Linked DNA regions of Arabidopsis thaliana. The protein of the gene in region 3 interacts with the protein of the main gene of each other region in a biochemical or structural test. Each region holds a gene or a part of one and is shown on either strand. Other genes may lie near its edges.

Evidence for each region. Proteins that work in one complex are often made in the same cells at the same time.
Region 1: the proteins of RAC3 (region 3) and ROPGEF8 form a complex in vitro, tested with the Arabidopsis thaliana proteins (one study listed by BioGRID).
Region 2: the proteins of RAC3 (region 3) and ROPGEF11 form a complex in vitro, tested with the Arabidopsis thaliana proteins (one study listed by BioGRID).

The regions. Positions count from the first base shown.
Region 1 is NC_003074.8:8,979,900-8,985,619, reverse strand, and holds ROPGEF8 (RHO guanyl-nucleotide exchange factor 8), read left to right. Parts: upstream 1-2,716; 5' UTR 2,717-2,826; coding exon 2,827-3,079; intron 3,080-3,153; coding exon 3,154-3,270; intron 3,271-3,367; coding exon 3,368-3,522; intron 3,523-3,603; coding exon 3,604-3,678; intron 3,679-3,759; coding exon 3,760-4,032; intron 4,033-4,114; coding exon 4,115-4,435; intron 4,436-4,547; coding exon 4,548-4,925; 3' UTR 4,926-5,220; downstream 5,221-5,720. UniProt on the Arabidopsis thaliana protein: Guanine-nucleotide exchange factor (GEF) that acts as an activator of Rop (Rho of plants) GTPases by promoting the exchange of GDP for GTP. Active as homodimer.
Region 2 is NC_003070.9:19,454,995-19,460,603, forward strand, and holds ROPGEF11 (rop guanine nucleotide exchange factor-like protein), read right to left. Parts: upstream 3,076-5,609; 5' UTR 2,885-3,075; coding exon 2,575-2,884; intron 2,454-2,574; coding exon 2,337-2,453; intron 2,244-2,336; coding exon 2,014-2,243; intron 1,926-2,013; coding exon 1,662-1,925; intron 1,575-1,661; coding exon 1,254-1,574; intron 1,162-1,253; coding exon 772-1,161; 3' UTR 515-771; downstream 1-514. Other genes in the region: PSAH2 (photosystem I subunit H2), read left to right, coding at 1-38, 132-258, 335-514; AT1G52245 (dynein light chain LC6, flagellar outer arm-like protein), read right to left, coding at 3,850-3,996, 4,104-4,241. UniProt on the Arabidopsis thaliana protein: Guanine-nucleotide exchange factor (GEF) that acts as an activator of Rop (Rho of plants) GTPases by promoting the exchange of GDP for GTP.
Region 3 is NC_003075.7:16,669,635-16,675,964, forward strand, and holds RAC3 (RAC-like 3), read left to right. Parts: upstream 1-2,557; 5' UTR 2,558-2,609; exon of another isoform or gene 2,610-2,786; intron 2,787-3,149; exon of another isoform or gene 3,150-3,197; 5' UTR 3,198-3,220; intron 3,221-3,284; exon of another isoform or gene 3,285-3,331; 5' UTR 3,332-3,541; coding exon 3,542-3,640; intron 3,641-3,944; coding exon 3,945-4,032; intron 4,033-4,116; coding exon 4,117-4,226; intron 4,227-4,328; coding exon 4,329-4,392; coding exon of another isoform or gene 4,393-4,472; exon of another isoform or gene 4,473-4,490; coding exon 4,491-4,555; intron 4,556-4,636; coding exon 4,637-4,702; intron 4,703-4,801; coding exon 4,802-4,906; 3' UTR 4,907-5,155; downstream 5,156-6,330. Other genes in the region: BGAL11 (beta-galactosidase 11), read right to left, coding at 1-161, 241-408, 502-705, 788-893, 986-1,080, 1,162-1,305, 1,397-1,489, 1,579-1,645 and 3 more; AT4G35025 (uncharacterized protein), read right to left, coding at 5,894-6,115. UniProt on the Arabidopsis thaliana protein: Inactive GDP-bound Rho GTPases reside in the cytosol, are found in a complex with Rho GDP-dissociation inhibitors (Rho GDIs), and are released from the GDI protein in order to translocate to membranes upon activation.

The DNA of each region.
Region 1 (5,720 bases), on a different chromosome or scaffold from region 3:
TACAGTATGAGAAATTCGCTTACAAACAAAAGAAAGTTCGACATGCACTACAAATAACCAGGTTAATTTGGGTTTTGTTCGGTTAGTGTTTATGAGAGCTTCAGAAAGAAGCATTGTGGTAAAGAGTTTCTGTTGAACATGACTTGTGATTATAATACTGACCACATTTTGCCAATGAAAAAAGATTCAATCTCCAAAACATCAAAGATTTGCCATCATCTCTAAAGAAGATAGGTAATAATAATATGCTTTCCCCAGTCAGGATATTTAGTGTCTATAGTTGTGACGGCAAAGCAAATAGATTCTTCTTCTTCCTTATTAGCTTTATGGAGATGGATTTCAAGGCTTGAAACATTAATTGTTATTTATCTTGGTGAGAATTTTTCAATTTGTTCTCTTACATAGTTATTTTCTAATTAACTTATGTCTTTGTCTTCCATCTATAGCCATTTCTTTTCTGCATCTCTAAATTTACCACTCCATCTTTGTATCATAAACATCCCCACCTTTTCACCTTCCTCATATTTCCATCCAATTTACCACTCCATCTTTGTGTCATATAATCATATCTAAATTGAAAAAATCTCCTTGGGTCATTGACATATTGGAACCGAGAAAACAACTGATTTATGAATATTAAACGGCTTATTCATAATTAGGAGAAAATAAAAGCTTTACTTAATTTGATTTACTAATTTGAGTAACGTCATTTTCAAACTGAACTTAAAATAAAAACGTAAGAAAATAATATGAACTCTTAAAATTTTGACGTTTTGTAAGCCTTGAAGACAATTAGATATTTCTATATATTGTTAAATATTAACTTTTAACTTTCTTTTCTTATTTGTCTTTATAAAATGAACCGTAAAAGTTAGAAAACTCCTACCAACCAAAAAAAAAAAAAGTTAAAAAACTCCTAATTTTTTTTCAAGTTTTCGAAGTCCCAGATAGAATCTCTTCTACCAAATCCTACGAAAGATCAGAGATGATCGTCATTTTTTTTTGGTGGAAGAGATACTCTCTAGGACTTCGAGAATTTCTGGAAGAGCTATTGGATGCGCTTGCAAACGATGTAACACACTATTTAAAGATGAGAGCTTTACAAAGAAGCATTGTGGTAAATCTACCAAGGAGTTTCTGGTAACCATGACTTGTGAATATTCTTTTTTGACTGATATTTCACAAACTAGATTCAGTCTCCATAGCATCAAAGACTTTTCATCTATAAAGGAGATAGGTGAAATGGTCTGTCGAGTTCAAATATCTAAGCTAGTCTATCATTGTCACGGCTTATTGTTATTAGTCACCAAGGATTCCTCGAGGCTGGTGGTATGGAACCCATATGTTGGTAAGCTAGTGCAAACCAGATGGATCAAACCCAAAAATAATTATCATGAATCAGATTGGTATGCTATAGGATACGACAACAAGAACAACCACAAAATATAAGGCATGAAATCTATGATTTTAAGTCTAATTCTTCAAGTCTAGTTCGTGGAGGGTTCTTGACATTACTTATAATTCTTATATAACGTTTAAAAAGAGGCGTTTCTTTGAAGAGAAATACTTACTTTGTTGATCGTAAAGGCGACGATTTTTTTTATTTTTTTTATTTTACAACATAGAGATTTGGATCACGTCTGCATCTGCCGTTTGATTCCAATAGTTATGTGATTTCATATTGTGTTAGAGAAGAGTAGCTTGAGGTGTTTTTGGGCAGGTGTTTGGATAGATGTGTGATGGAGACATGGATTACAACTAAGATTGAGCCAAATGCAGTGTCGTGGAGCAAATTCTTTAAAGTTGAAATTCCACTTGTGTTTGGTTGTTACGTACTTTCTATCTGTGTTTGAAGTTTGCAGTTTCTTCATTGATAAAGAGAAAAAGCAGCATTTGTTGTGGTACATATGGTGTCAATCATCTCTTCGAGATATCTTTCGTGGTAAGAGAGAATATGTTCTTCAAAGTAACGGATTTCGGAGAAATGTTCTCTTATGTTCCAAGTTCGGTGCAGATCCAATACTTAAGGTCTAGTACATGCAGGAATCCTACAGCAGGAGGCAAAAGAAAAGGAGGAGATTACTAGTAATTTCTTACATTGCCTTGTTTGTTTATTATTCATGTTATATTGTTTTGAACAAGCCTGGTCAATGGCTTCTTTATTACTTGACAAGATCAAAAACATATTTTGGTGATTTGAAAACTAAACTTGTCATATAAACTTTGATATCTGACAAGTTTTATGTCTTTCTCTGGTGAATTATGTAGCTCTAGTGGTGAAGAAGACATTCCATAGTACATAAACATGGAAATGTAACCAATGAATCAATTGCACAGTGGTTGATTTCAAAGCCAAATAAACCAAAACTTAAGTAAATTCTAAACACTCAAAAGCAGAACAAGAAAAATGCAAGACATAAGGATAGCTAAATACTCTATTTGATGAATGGTAGATCTCCCATAAGAAAGTTGAATCAGTTTGGAGTTTTATTGTCTTTTCCGTACTTCGTGGAACGTCACTTTTATCACAAACCATCAATTTATTTCTAACACAAAAGAGAAGATAACCAATCATGGAAATAGCTAACTTCCTAAATTTTGATTTACTATTTTTATATTTGAAATGCATTTAGTCCTTAAAATCGAAAACAAACGTTTGTTCTTAAGAATTTTGTTTCATTTTCCAAATAAAAGAGGTTTTTTTTTTGTTCTTTTTATGCTTTTAACAAAAATCTTAGAGTTGTATCATCTTTAGATCAACTGGATTTTAAAGGAATAAAGGGCTTTAACTTGCGGGGCAAGAAAACAAGCGAACGTTGTCGTACCATGGTTGCAGCGTTGGAACGAGGACTAAGCGCTTCCAAATCATTCAACTTTAAAAGAATGTTTGATTCATCTTCGACGAAACAACAACAATCTCAAACTATTGTCGTGGAGAACGGAGATTCTCATATTGTCGAATCCAACACGCCTGAAAGCCAAAACTCCGACAGCTTCGTAGAAAGCCCCGTAGAGAGCAGCCTTCCAATGATTTCCCCTCTTACTCGGCCAGGAAAAAGATCTGAGAGACAACAAGCAGGTGTGTATCTTCTTTCCTTTTCCAATAACTTATATCCTTCAAAAAAAACCTAATAATCACATAAAGTATTGCAGATATGGAGATGATGAAAGACAGGTTCGCTAAATTGCTTCTTGGAGAAGATATGTCCGGTGGTGGGAAAGGCGTATCTTCTGCTCTGGCTCTTTCCAATGCCATCACAAATCTTGCTGGTAATCTTCTTTTTATACTTTTTAAGTTTCTTCTTTCGCAAGTAAGTATGAGGGTTTTGGTTTCTAAATCTTGTGTTGGTGGTATGATGATTTGCAGCGTCTATATTCGGAGAACAAACAAAGCTACAACCGATGCCGCAAGATAGACAAGCGAGATGGAAGAAAGAGATTGATTGGTTATTATCCGTGACCGATCACATTGTCGAGTTTGTTCCTTCTCAACAAACAAGCAAAGATGGAGTTTGCACTGAGGTTTGAGTTTCCCAAAGAAAAGAAAATATCATTTTTGCGACCTCTTTAGAATAAGTTACAATGTTAACCATTTTTTTGTAGATTATGGTGACAAGACAAAGAGGTGATCTTCTTATGAACATTCCAGCTCTTCGAAAACTTGACGCCATGCTCATCGTAAGTCTCTCCATTCAATCTGTATTGAATCCGGCTTATATCTAGCGTTTGGTGGATTAATGGTAATGATAACATGTTCAGGATACATTGGACAATTTCAGAGGACACAACGAGTTTTGGTATGTCTCAAGAGATTCAGAAGAAGGGCAGCAAGCAAGGAATGATCGGACAAACGACAAGTGGTGGCTACCACCGGTTAAAGTTCCTCCTGGAGGTTTATCAGAACCATCTCGGAGAATGCTTTACTTCCAAAAAGATTCAGTCACACAAGTTCAAAAAGCTGCAATGGCCATCAATGCTCAAGTCCTCTCAGAAATGGAAATACCTGAGAGCTACATCGACTCTCTCCCAAAGGTAAATCAATGTCACGTTTTTATTCAATTTCTATCTTTTGTTATTCTATGTTTGGCTCTTAAGATTTGATTTTTATTGACAGAACGGAAGAGCCAGCCTCGGGGATTCGATATACAAGAGCATAACAGAGGAATGGTTTGATCCTGAGCAGTTCTTAGCGATGTTGGACATGTCGACAGAGCACAAAGTGTTGGATTTGAAGAACAGAATTGAGGCATCTGTTGTGATTTGGAAGAGGAAGCTTCACACAAAGGACACCAAATCTTCGTGGGGCTCAGCAGTTAGCTTGGAGAAGAGAGAATTGTTCGAAGAGAGAGCAGAAACAATCTTGGTCTTGCTCAAACAAAAATTTCCCGGTCTTCCTCAATCTTCCCTTGACATCTCCAAGATTCAGTTTAACAAGGTAAATCAATCATAATGATAAGCTCTCATATATTGTAGATGCCTTGAATGGCAAGAAACAACTCATTTTTGTTTTGGTTATAAGAAAACTGATCTTTTATCAATGGATACAGGACGTTGGGCAAGCGGTGTTGGAAAGTTACTCTAGGATACTTGAGAGCTTGGCTTACACAGTGATGTCAAGGATAGAAGATGTTCTTTACACAGATACATTGGCACTAAAGCAAACTTTATTGGCTGAAGAAACATCAGATGGTGGGAGAACAACAGAGACGGATTCCGAGTCAGCGGGATCTTCTAACTCGGGAGAAGAAGCCGAGAAGCATGACCCACACTCCAAGACCTTGTTGGATTTTATGGGTTGGAATGATAATAGTTCCAAAGGAGGCGATAAACCTACTAAATCTCCAAACCTTACGCCGAAAAAGCTCTCATACTTGGAGAAGTTAGAGAATTTAAACGGTTTTAGAAGTCCCAAAGATAGGCATTAATCATGAAAATCCTTGTGAGATACTTTTATAGAGAACATAAAAGTGTAGATAGGGAAAAAGGAATGAAAGCAAAGTAGTAAATGAAGTAATCACACCCTCTTCCTTCCTCGGATAGAGAAGTCTTTAGCTTAAGGAGTTTTTAACTCTTAACAAGAAGATAACTATCTCAAATGTACATGTTATAATCTTTAAATGTTCTCTTTGTTTTTCTTGACTTTCAAAAATAGAGGATATTTAATACGTTTAACTATGTGTATCAAATTATCAAACAATATGCGTATGGTCCAAACTCCAAAGGTGCATTTGAAATATATCAAACATATCTAAAAACGTAAAACAAATTGACCACTTAATCTTGGATATAAAGTTAATCGTACGTTTTACAATCTTCAATATTTCAAATCTGATATTACTTTTAAAAATTCATGTGTGTGGAGTATATTTGCAGTATACTTTAAACTTTGTTTCTAATAATTTGTTCATGAAATTCTTTTGAAATTTATTTAAAAAGACTTAGTATACAAATATTTCTAAGATATGTAATTTTGAGTAACCTTTGTTTTTTTTAAGAAATTAATCTTAATTTAATAATACCAAATTGTAAAATCTCCTTTAATCATGATTTACAAAAAGATCAAATAACACAAGATTTTAAGACATAATTTAATTCGAAAAAGGCCACGTAGGCTAGTGAATAGTTATGATCCACATTGCGTGTTAGTTCAATGGACCCATGACAGGCCTTTGGGCCAGGGAAATAAAAGTCGGTTTTCTACAAGAAACAGTATGTAGTTT
Region 2 (5,609 bases), on a different chromosome or scaffold from region 3:
AAACCTTCTCGCCAAAGCTTCAAAACCAAATCCACCAGGTAAAGTTTAAAGCTTTGAAATTTGGAATCTTGGATTGACATTGATGAGGATTGGTATTAAAGAAAGGATGTTACTTTTGATTGTTTGTGTAGAGCTGGTGCTGTGGTGGCTAAGTATGGAGACAAAAGTGTATACTTTGATTTAGAAGATTTGGGTAACACAACAGGACAATGGGATGTGTATGGATCTGATGCTCCTTCTCCTTATAACCCACTTCAGGTTTTTGTACACTCTTAAATCTTTAGATCTATATGCTTCTTCAAATTCTAAGACTTTGTGATTATGTTGCTTGCAGAGCAAGTTCTTTGAGACATTTGCTGCTCCTTTCACAAAGAGAGGTTTGCTTCTCAAATTTTTGATTCTTGGAGGAGGCTCTTTGCTTACATATGTTAGTGCGAACTCTACCGGCGATGTTCTTCCGATTAAGAGAGGTCCTCAAGAGCCACCTAAGCTCGGTCCTCGCGGCAAGCTTTAAATTAGCTTTCTAAAATCTTTCAAAAAGTCAGAAACTTTCTCCCCAATTCTATGAACCCTATTTATGTATATTGTACTGTGTTGTGTTAATTGCTTTGTAAGCTAGTGATTCTGAAAATCAGTTATGATGAATCAATGAAATTGCATTTCAAGTCTGCTACAACACACAATGGTGCATTTTGTGGAATCTTTAAGCAGATTGAAAATGCAGTAAGAAGCCCTAATTTAACAAGAACGGAAAAAAGAAACCGGTTTCTCTCAGGAGTATCTTGCGGTTGGACTCCTCATAGCTCCAAGATTATCAAGATAAGAACTCTTCTTGTTGTTAGTCATTATACCTGTGACTTTCGACAACAACGGTTTCTCTCTATCTCCGAAAAAGCTTTCTTTCTTCATTTCATTGTTTTTGTTACCCCATTGCATAACATCAGAAAGTGTTCCTGAAGCCATATCCTCTGTGAAACTTAGTCTTTCCTCTCTTAGTTTCTCATTCTCCTTCAAGCTATATCTGTTCTTAGAAGGTGCATTATTTGTAGGTTCTTGAGTAAGCTGATCAGCGTAAAGCACGTCTTCTATTCTCGACATCACGGTGTGAGCTAAACTCTCAAGCACTCTTGAATAACTCTCCAATATCGCAAGTCCTACATCCTGCAACAACAATTATCCAATAATGAGATTTTCTCATGACCATAGAGAAAACACAATCAAAATGTATTTGGAAGTTAAGAGTTTTAAATTACTCTGTTGAATTGAATCTTGCTGATATCGAGCGAGGACTGTGAGATTCCGGGAAACCCTTGTTTTAATAGTAGCAAGATGGTTTCAGCTCTTTCTTCAAACTGTTCTCTTTTCTCAATACTCACTGTTGATCCCCAAGGAGACTTTGTGTCCTTCTGCACCATTTTCCTCTTCCATATCACAATCGATGCTTCGATTCTGTTCTTTAGATCAAGAATCTTGTGCTCAGATGATAAATCCATTTCAATTAGGAATTGATCTGCATCAAACATCTCTACTGTTATCATTCTGTATATCACATCTCCCAAGCTAGCTCTCCCATTCTGTTCTCAACAACACACGAAAACATCGATAAGGACTAGATCAATAACAGATTCTTGATGAATGTTTTTATGTGTTTATTAAATAACCTTAGGAAGTGACTCAAGGTAGCTTTCAGGAATCTCCATTTCAGACAGAACTTGAGCGTTTATCGCCATTGCAGCTTTAAGGACTTGATTCACACATTCCTTCTGGCTCTGTAGAAACCTTCTTGATATCTCTGAGAGGCCGTTAGGTGGGACTTTTACTGCCGGTAACCACCATTTCTCATCGTTCCTTGTCTCGCAAGAATCAGGAGAATCTTTTTTAACATAATAAAACTCATCCTGATCCTTGAATTTATCAAGACAATCCTGCAAGAGAATGATTATAAATGTGAGATTAATTATTTAACAGCCTTTGATTAGTATATTTTGTGCTGTTGTTGTTTGTTCTTCTTACGAGAAGCATAGCATCGAGTTTCTTAAGTGCAGGGATGTTACAGAGAAGATCTGTTCTTTGTCTTGTTGACATGACTTCCATTGAAGTACCATCTTTGTTTGTTTGTTGTGTTGGAGCGAATTCAACTATATAATCAGCCACAGAGATAAGCCATCCAATTTCTCTCCTCCAACGCGTTTTTCTATCCACCGCCATTGGCTCTAAACGCCGTTGTTCTCCAAACGCAGACGCTGCAACAACAAAAAAATTACAGAACTTAACATCAAATTGGTGATAAAATTGAAAATTTCCATGGAACTGAAAGATTTGGGAAAAGATCTTACCTGCGAGATTGGTAATGGCGTTAGATAAAGCCAAAGCCGATGAAACACCTTTTCCTCCTCCTGACATATCTTCTCCAAGAAGCAATTTCGAAAATTTCTCTTTCATTTGCTCCATTGCTGTAATAACAACAACATATACTTTAGTTTTTGCCCTAACTTATAATCCAAGATTAGTACTTTGCCCCTAACTTGCAATCCAAGAAACCTAGAAGATATGAGCCAGTTCATTAGATTTTACCTGCTTGCAATATTATTAGTGCCTCCATGGAATCCGATGAAGAGACTCTCGGAAGCTTGTCATTGCGATTAGGCGTTACTCCGCCTATAGGCAAAGAAGGTCGGTCAACGCTGCCACATTTTCCGGGTTGACTCCTAAACATCATCATGTCATTATCATCATCATCCAAATTGTCAGAACCATCCATTCTCATTGCACAATCTGAGCTCCAGCTTTTAACATGTCTTGAAGCTGAGTTTTCGTTCATGTTCTTGAAATGAAACAATCTTGATTTGTAAGTCTCTTGTTCTTGCTCCATTGCTTTTACCATTAATTACTAGTTAATCAAAACAATAAAAAAAATGAAAAGATTTCTATGATTTGAAAATTCTTTTTAATCTCCATTTGTTCTCCTCTTCGTGTAATAAAGAGGAGTTTTAGGAGATCATGAAGAAAAAACAAACTTAATTAACCAAAAAACGGTGTTTGATTTTAATTTCAGACTTAGCAAATACAGAACACCATCATTTGACTTCTGTTAATGGTTTTAGTTTTAACCTGATTATTTTAGTAACTATTATGATTCGTTGTCCATAACCATAAACAAGTAGTGAATTTGGTCAGATTCTTCAGGGGAAAAAAATAAGAGGATATTTTTAATTTTCTTGAAATGTTTTACTATTTATAAATTGATACTTGGTGGAATGTGGGCTGCACGTTATTTGAAAGTTGAATTTCTCCACACACATAAAAAAAATCTCAATCTTTTTCTTTAAATCAAACATTGAGATGTAGGGAGGACATGTTACTGACATTATCTGTAATATCATTTTTGTTTATGTCTTGTTGTATTAAAAAAATCTCAGTTTCTCAACTAAATTAAGGATTATGGATGATAATGTTTTCCTCAATTTTGACCTCTCTCTGAATTTCTATCAAAGTAAAAGTTTAAAATAAATTTATATTATGCTAATGATAGATTAGTCTAAGTCAGTCTAAGAAATTCTCTATTTGTGGCTGGGCAATTATAATTGTTTGCATCTCAACTAAAAGAATATAAATATAAAAAATCTTCTGCATTTCACTTTTATTGATCACAAAAGCAAACACTTGTAAAAATGAAAAATCTTACATCATTGAAATCAACTTCCTCTCTTAGCTTGGGCCTATTTACAAACTTAGAATTCAAACAAAGCTAAAGATCTTGATAGTCTTAGCAAGATTTTTTTTTCTCAGATTTTCATAGAAGCAAAAGAAAAAGGAAAAAAAAACATCCCCATGATTAGGGTAGTGTAATTAAGGAGTAGAAGCGCCTTTAAAGATGAGGAACTTAAGTGTCTCCAATTGAAAATAGATAAAAGTCCCTTTAGAATGTGTGAAGAAACACCCAAAATTTGATCCCACCACACATTGCCATCCACTCCCATATCTCTCATCAAACTCCTGAAAATTCATTATAGAACAAACAAAATTAACCAAGTAGTTATATATAGATGATAATGATGTATTTATGACTTATAAATAGAATTGAAGAAAATCATTACTAATACCTTCTTGATGTGACCAGCAATGGATTTACAGTCAAAGACATCAAAAAGGTCAAGAGCTTGAGAAGCAAATGCCATAGCTTGCATCTGCATCTTCACTGGCATGTCTGAATCTTCCACCATTGCTTTGCCTTCCAACATCTTTCTCTATCTCTCTCTCTCTCAATAACTCCAAACGTTTTTCAATTTTTTTGATGAGAACTAAAGACAAGGGAAGCTTTGGATCTTTATAGGCTCCTAAAAGACACAAAATGAAAAAAAGATTCCTTCAATATCTAATCTTTATCAAGAAAACCCATACAAAGATAAATAATGTCTCCTCTTTGAGGAAAAATATGGGAAAATGTGCCTAACCTTTTTCTTTGTCGTCTTCTCTTCACTGGGATTACTTCCTCACGGGTTCTTGGATTCAAAGTCTTTTCAAGAAGAAATGTACGTATAAGCATTCAAAAGAATGGCACGAACGAACACAACTGTTCTTTAAATTTAGTCAAAACGTTGATAATTTCAAGATGACAAAGCTGATCAAAGAAACAAAGTTGATAATTTGAAGACTAAAAAAAGGAACAAGACAGTTAAGAAAAAGTATAATAAAATAAGGTGTAATGACTCATTTGAGCAGATATATGTGTCTCTCTCTTACGTGTGTCCAAGTATTTTTTGTCTTTGACGTTTAATGGATAACGATGGAGAGGTGCATAATTAATTAGTTAAATAGCTAACATGTGAAAGAAAAAAAATGTAATTAGCTAAGCCTTCCACAAAACTCGTAAATATGTCGGTGTAACAGTTGGGATTTATAAGCCCATTAAGAAGGTTTAGGACCCATTGATCTAGCTAGCAACCTATGCTAGTTCTTGAAGAATTCTCAACTTTTTAATGCAAATGGTGTGTTTAATCTTTTTATGCCCATTGGAGTTTTGGATAGAAAACAAAATTTAGAGTAATTACCATGCATGCTTAAGTTGTAGTGGCAAAAAATGACTAAATTGAATTTATTTTATAGTTTAATTTAGAAAACACAATTACTAGTCTATAGTAGTTACTAATTATACACTTACATCACTTTTTTGTTCTTTAAATACTACCATCATAGGGTATTGCCGTATTGGCAATAAGTCCATAACTATTTGATAATTTATCAATGTGTTTTTCTTTTCTTACTTTTTTGAATAAAATGAAATGTTCTTATATACTTTCTAATAAAATGAAATTGCATTTTACCTTGTATACTCTAAATATGTATCATAATTTCCTTTCCTATACTAGTTGTTTTATCAAATCCTAAAAACATTAGTCAAACAATGCTACTAAACTCCACTCTCTTTTTGGTATTTCTTTAATATTTCATAACTTTCATTTATCAATTACTATGCAAAAAGCAACAATTTTTCTTACCAAAATTAAAAACCAAAAAGCAACAATATTTTTAATTTAGTTTTCCTTTGTTGTTTTTTTGACTAAAACATGCGAGTCTTCTTTCTTGGCTCCCGCCGTAAATCCTGGTGA
Region 3 (6,330 bases):
CCATAGTCTGTCTTGTCTTTAGTCAAACCATAAAGCTCAACGGGTATGTATGAGTTACCTTCGAGTTTACTAGGCAATGTCTCTGTGAAAACTTTGAAATCAAACTTCTTGTTTGCCTTTTTAGACTTCATAAAGTTCCTTGAAGTGTGTTGAGAAACAATCTGGTCCAATAACAAACAAGAACTTGTTAAAACTCTGTTTTTTTTGCTCAAATAAACCGGTATTTAATGTTTTCTTCACCTGTGCAGTGTTGTAAACAACAGTTTTACAATCGGGAAGAATACTAATAGAACGAGGCGCGATCACGTATTCTCTGCCCTTGAATTTGATGGTTTCTGCAGCTTCAGTATTGTTGTTAGCCAAGAAAGCAGCACAAGTTTTGGTTCCAGGTTGTTCGTAGTATCTAATCTGTTATTACACACCAAAAAGTTGAATCCTTTAAGCATTTTGAAAAAACAAATCAGAGTCTGTTTGTATGTGTACATGCATATATGCTAATACCTCTGTATCTTTTCCAGGTTTCTCGGTTTTAGGCTGACCCCAAAGAAGTGGCTTCTTGCAGAGGTTAAGAGCGTTGTGAAGATGCTTAAGATGACCATACTTAGGCTCTTTCTCTAAACCATATTCATCAAGAGGTGCATCATCGTAGTATCTAGTGGTCACATAATGTGCAGAGGTTCTTCCAAAGTTAGTCCCTCCGTGGTACTACAAGATTAAAGAACCATTTTGAGAATTTTGACAATCATTTTTGCATATATGGTTAACTCGAATGGATCATAATTTTTACCATGTAGTAGTTGACATGGGTTCCGTTCTTGGAGAAGAATCGAGCAACTGAATACGCGATATCTTCTACTGATCTTTGAGTTGGCGGATCACCAAACACGCGGAACCTATTGAAGAAATTGGCAAGATATTCAACACTTATATGAATGAACCTAAGGTTTTTACATGTTTAATTCAAGAGTAAGAAAAACAAACTCACTGAGTAGTCCAATTCTCAGTCCATAAAGATGGTTTGTTTTCTCTGTTTGGACCGGGGAAAGTATCACCGCAATGTCTTCCATTACAAGCATTGATCTGTTTCCACAGTGTTTTCAAATATTTTAAAACTTTCTTCCTCATTCGGATAAAACACAATCATGTAAAAATGAACTTTACCATAGGATCAGGAGCGTCGTTCTGCTTGCACATAACCCATGGGATCCCGAGTTTCATTGAGTCCACCAAATTAGATGCCCATTTAATGTAGTTTAACCCGTCTTGTTTATATGCACGTTGAACCGCGCTATATTCGTTTTCTATCTGCAATTCATATTCATTCCAAAACTCATCATTTTATAACATTTTTCAAATCATATATAAATATATAGGTTTCTCTTTTCTTTGTTGTCACCTGTCCTAATATAATGGGGCCTCCTTGTGACGCAAACAATCTTTCCTCCTTCATTTTGTCGAGTATCATCCGTACATACCTTTCTGTATGCTCCTGCAATATTTTTATGGTCATATCTTGTAATATATCTAATTGTAACAAAACACACATTGACATATATATAGTAATTCTATGTATAATACCTTGAATTGTTTATTGTCTGTACGGAAGAAAATTCCAGGAACTTCTCTAAGCCAATAAGGAAGTCCTCTGATCATCACAAAGAGATCATATAAAATGTTAAAATGAAGATCTTGAGAACGCCGAAAAAGAAGAAGAAGCAATGCATTATTACCCATGAGTCCATTCAGCTTGGATGAACGGTCCAAGCCTTAAGGTCACATACATTCCATTCTTTTGAATCAACTTTATGAACTTCACCAAATCAGCTCGTCCCGAAAAGTTGAACTGATGAACGCAACACAAAATACATTATGAATCCTAAAGATTCATGCATGCGTGTTTTATATGTTCTATATATAGATCAGTTTTTGGTTATGAATTACCTTTCCTTGTTGAGGCTCATGTACATTCCAGAAAACGTATGTCTGAATCGTGTTCAAACCGCCTTGCTTGGCTCTCTTGATGATACTTGGCCACATCTAAACCAAACCCAAATGACACAATAATCTCAATATACAAAAAAAAAAAAAAAACGTTTTAGAAAAACAGAGATTATGTGATTCAATAAATACTTCCGGAGTGCTTCTCGGGTAATGAATAGAGCCAGAATAAAGAAGCTCTCTTTTGCCATCGATGATCAAAGAGGTTCCATCATATGTCACCTCCTTATTACTCTTCTTCTTCTTCTTGGCGTCCTTCTTGGCCGCGAAGGAGGAAGAAGACGAGAGGAGAACGACAAGAACAGCTGTTAAAAGCCATCGATCAAGAGAATGTTTTCTCATTGAACTCTCTTCTTTTTCTTTTTTGAATTAATTTTTGGTGTCGTACGTAGAACAAGAAGCTAAGTTCTCTTGGAACCTCGTCCTTGTCGGAGGAATAAAAAACAAGGAGAGCTCAAATAACAAGCTTTCAGAAAAGAGGATGATATAAGAGAATGTTTCGCACTCAGGTTTTCAGGTTTCCGGAGAAATTTACGCGTCTGAAATAGAATCCACCGTTGTAACTTTGAAACTCTCTTCATTTTTCCTTTTCGATTTTTTTTTTTTAATTTGTTTTTGCTATTTTTAAATGTTGGTTTCACCCTATTCTTCGCCTATTATGTTGGACATAACATAACAAATTAGTGAAATTACCATTCGTTTTTTTTGGGTCCCCATAACAGATTCTTTAACGGTCAATAAGTGTTTTTAAAATTAACGGTCAATAACTAGCTAGACAGATTCAAAAGGTAAGCCTTTATACCGTGATTGGTTATAAAAATATTAAATATTGACCTTAAGTTCACGTTTTTTTTAGTGTCTCAACATTTATTTCTTAGAGAAGTTGTATGTACATTTTTAATGTTTACTTCAACATACCGGGACAAAAATATTATCATTTAACATGTAACAGAAGAATATGTATCCAAAGGAGGCTGATCAATAAAAATTAACACTCCAATCATATTGCATTGTAAAACCAGCTATATTTTTTATTGATATTTAAACCATAGTTGTATAATCCTAATGACACATCGGAAAAATCCTCTAAACCAGTCAAAATTTAGCTAAATTTTTTATTGATATTTAAAGATCAATCTAAATATGTATAGATTTAGGCATTTAGTATATGGGCTGCATAGTATTAGATGAAAACGAAGTTTAAAAAAAAAAAAAAAAAAAAGTACATAGAAATTATTATTATAATTTTCATCCCATAAATTTTTGTAGGGTCTTATGTTGGGAAACGCACTATCTAAGAAGAAATGCTATTTTATAAAATTTTAGTAAAAAGAAGAAAAAAAAGGAAGAAGAAGACCAAGAAATTGAGGTGCATGTGAGGATGAGTAGTAAAAATTAGGAAGACTCTAGTCTGGGAGAGACTTTCAGCAGCTATTTCTTTGTCTTCTTTCTCTTTAAAGAACCTCACTCTCTCTCTCTTTAGTCAAAAATCCCCAATTCGTGAACAAATTAGGGTTTTTGAAGTTTGAAGAAGGAGAGAAAGATGAGTGCTTCAAGGTTTATCAAGTGTGTCACTGTCGGCGACGGTGCTGTTGGAAAGACTTGTCTTCTCATCTCCTACACTAGCAACACTTTCCCCACGGTTAGCTTTAAAGTTCTCTTCTTTTACTTTGATTTCGTGAAATTTTAGCTTGGTGAAGTTGGTTTTGTTGTTGAAGCTTATGAGTTGGATTTAGTCACAAGTATTTGTTAGGTTTTCTTAAAGTCTTCTTCTTTCTGCTACCTTAGTGAATGTACTGATGTGATCTTTAGGATTTGAGAGACTCAGAGATTCATGTACCGTAGCAATGTTGTTGATCTGTTTAATGATCTTAGAAAGAGTGTTAGGTAACTTTCTGTAAGGAGATTTTGTAGCTGATGTTTTAGTGGAATTTTCTATGTGACAGGATTATGTGCCAACTGTGTTCGATAATTTCAGTGCCAATGTGATTGTTGATGGCAACACTATCAACTTGGGATTGTGGGATACTGCAGGCAAGTTGTTACCTTGGATTTTTTTGTCTTTTGAATTTCCTCCTCTTCCAGAGAGTCATTTGTGTTTTTGACTTGGTGAAACAGGGCAAGAGGACTACAATAGACTAAGACCTTTGAGCTATCGCGGTGCAGATGTCTTCTTACTTGCATTCTCACTTGTCAGCAAAGCTAGCTATGAAAATGTTTCTAAAAAGGTTTGATCTGTGGTCTTCTCCTGAAACTTCTTTCCTGTTTTATTCAGTTTACATTCAGTGATTCTGATAGAATACATTTGGTATCTTGCTTTTGATTCTTAGTGGGTTCCTGAACTGAGACATTATGCTCCTGGTGTTCCCATCATCCTCGTTGGAACAAAGCTTGGTTGGTTTTTTCTTAGCTCAACTCTTAATCGCCTGATTATCGGGGGTTTTCTGTTTTGGGGAACTCTTCTGATATTTTGATGACTGAGTCTCGTACAGATCTTCGAGATGATAAGCAATTCTTTGCCGAGCACCCTGGTGCTGTGCCTATCTCTACCGCTCAGGTACCTTTCTCATTATCTTTCTAAACTGAATCCTAGGTGTTAATATTCTGCATGTTTCATATTTTGATGGTATCAAAACAGGGTGAAGAACTAAAGAAGCTGATTGGGGCGCCTGCTTATATCGAATGCAGTGCAAAAACTCAACAGGTATTAACCTGAGAGTCAATATCTTTATCTAATCTTTACCTGTCTAAAACCGCCAATTGAATCTGCTGATGATTCCTATATCTGTTATCTGTTCAACAGAATGTGAAAGCAGTGTTTGATGCGGCTATCAAGGTCGTTCTCCAGCCACCAAAAAACAAGAAGAAGAAGAAGAGAAAATCTCAGAAAGGTTGTTCTATACTCTGATTCAACAAGAAGAAAGGAATCAACAGGAGAATTAGAGCTATAAGTATTTGTTTTCTCCTTTTTCATAACTTGTTTACCCAAGGAATCAAAAATCTGTTGTTTGTAGTCTGAAAATGACAAAAGTTGAAGAACTAGTAACAAGTATTTGTATTCTTGTTTGCATTTTGATCTGTAAATATACCACGAATCCTTGATTTCTCTGTTTCCTAGATTCACACCAATTGTCTTAAGGATTATGTTCCAAACCTAAAGACAATGAGAGCTTACACGCGCGAACCAATGAGAATGAGAGAGCACTTGTCTTTCTTGGACAATAGTATCTAAACCAGCTTATTTGAAACCTTCTGAATGAGCCAGAGTGTCTTCCATACATATCAATTCCACATAGACCTAACCTGATCTTTAGACTATAATCTTCAATGATTTCAGAACCTCAAAACTTTTGATTTTACATTTTTAATCAAATTTATTTGATATTCATTTTGCTTATTGACTAGACGTTTTCCCCTTGGAGATAATAGAATGATTGATTTTAACTCTCACCGGAAAAGACAAAAAAAAGGAAAAATAAATCATTGATTAAATAAAATTTATGGTGAATAAGCTTGGCTTCTCTTTACCAAACATATATGTTTGTTGATCAATCTCTTTCTTTGCGTTATCTGCCCCTTGATTTAGACCCACGTATTATTCGATTCCTAAACTAATTGAAATGATTAGATATGTGTCATGACGTTTAGTGAACTAATATTCACCTAATATGTCTTTCAATCACTTAAGAATTTGCATTATTCTTGTGAAAAACATAAATTCACATGCTGCTAGTAAAATATGTTAACAAATCAATTAAACATCAGAAAATAATAACTGAGATCTTCATAAAGAAAGTGGAAGTTTTTTTAAATATATGAAGAAGAAAAGTGCGTAGTGTGCACGGGACTTAGTTCATTTAATTCTCGAGCCATTGCCGTACGGAGGAGGCTGCCTTCAAGGCTTAAGTCGAGGCGTGTTCGTTACGTTTAACCCGCAATAGCCGGTGGCTACACACTCACAAATCCCCTTTGACTCACCGGATATCGACGGTTTCCCGCTATTTTTTCCCCTAACTAACTTTTTTTCCTTTTCTTGTAAAACTCTTAAAAACAAAACTCGGTGTTGTCTCTTTGTTTGCTCACTCCTTTTCTTTCTCTCTCTCGCCGACACTTTCATTCTCACTTGTGTTCGTACGTAATGTTCTTGATCCGGTAGGTTTTTATTTGATTATAAACTCATTTCATTTAACAAATTGAGTCCATCTCTCTATGATTCACCCATAAGATGATAGAAGAAGATCAACATTTACGTCTGAGATAAATCATGTCCTTTAATGTATATTTGTTTATTTTCTGGTCAATCATCGATCTTTCTTAGTCGTAGCAGTTACA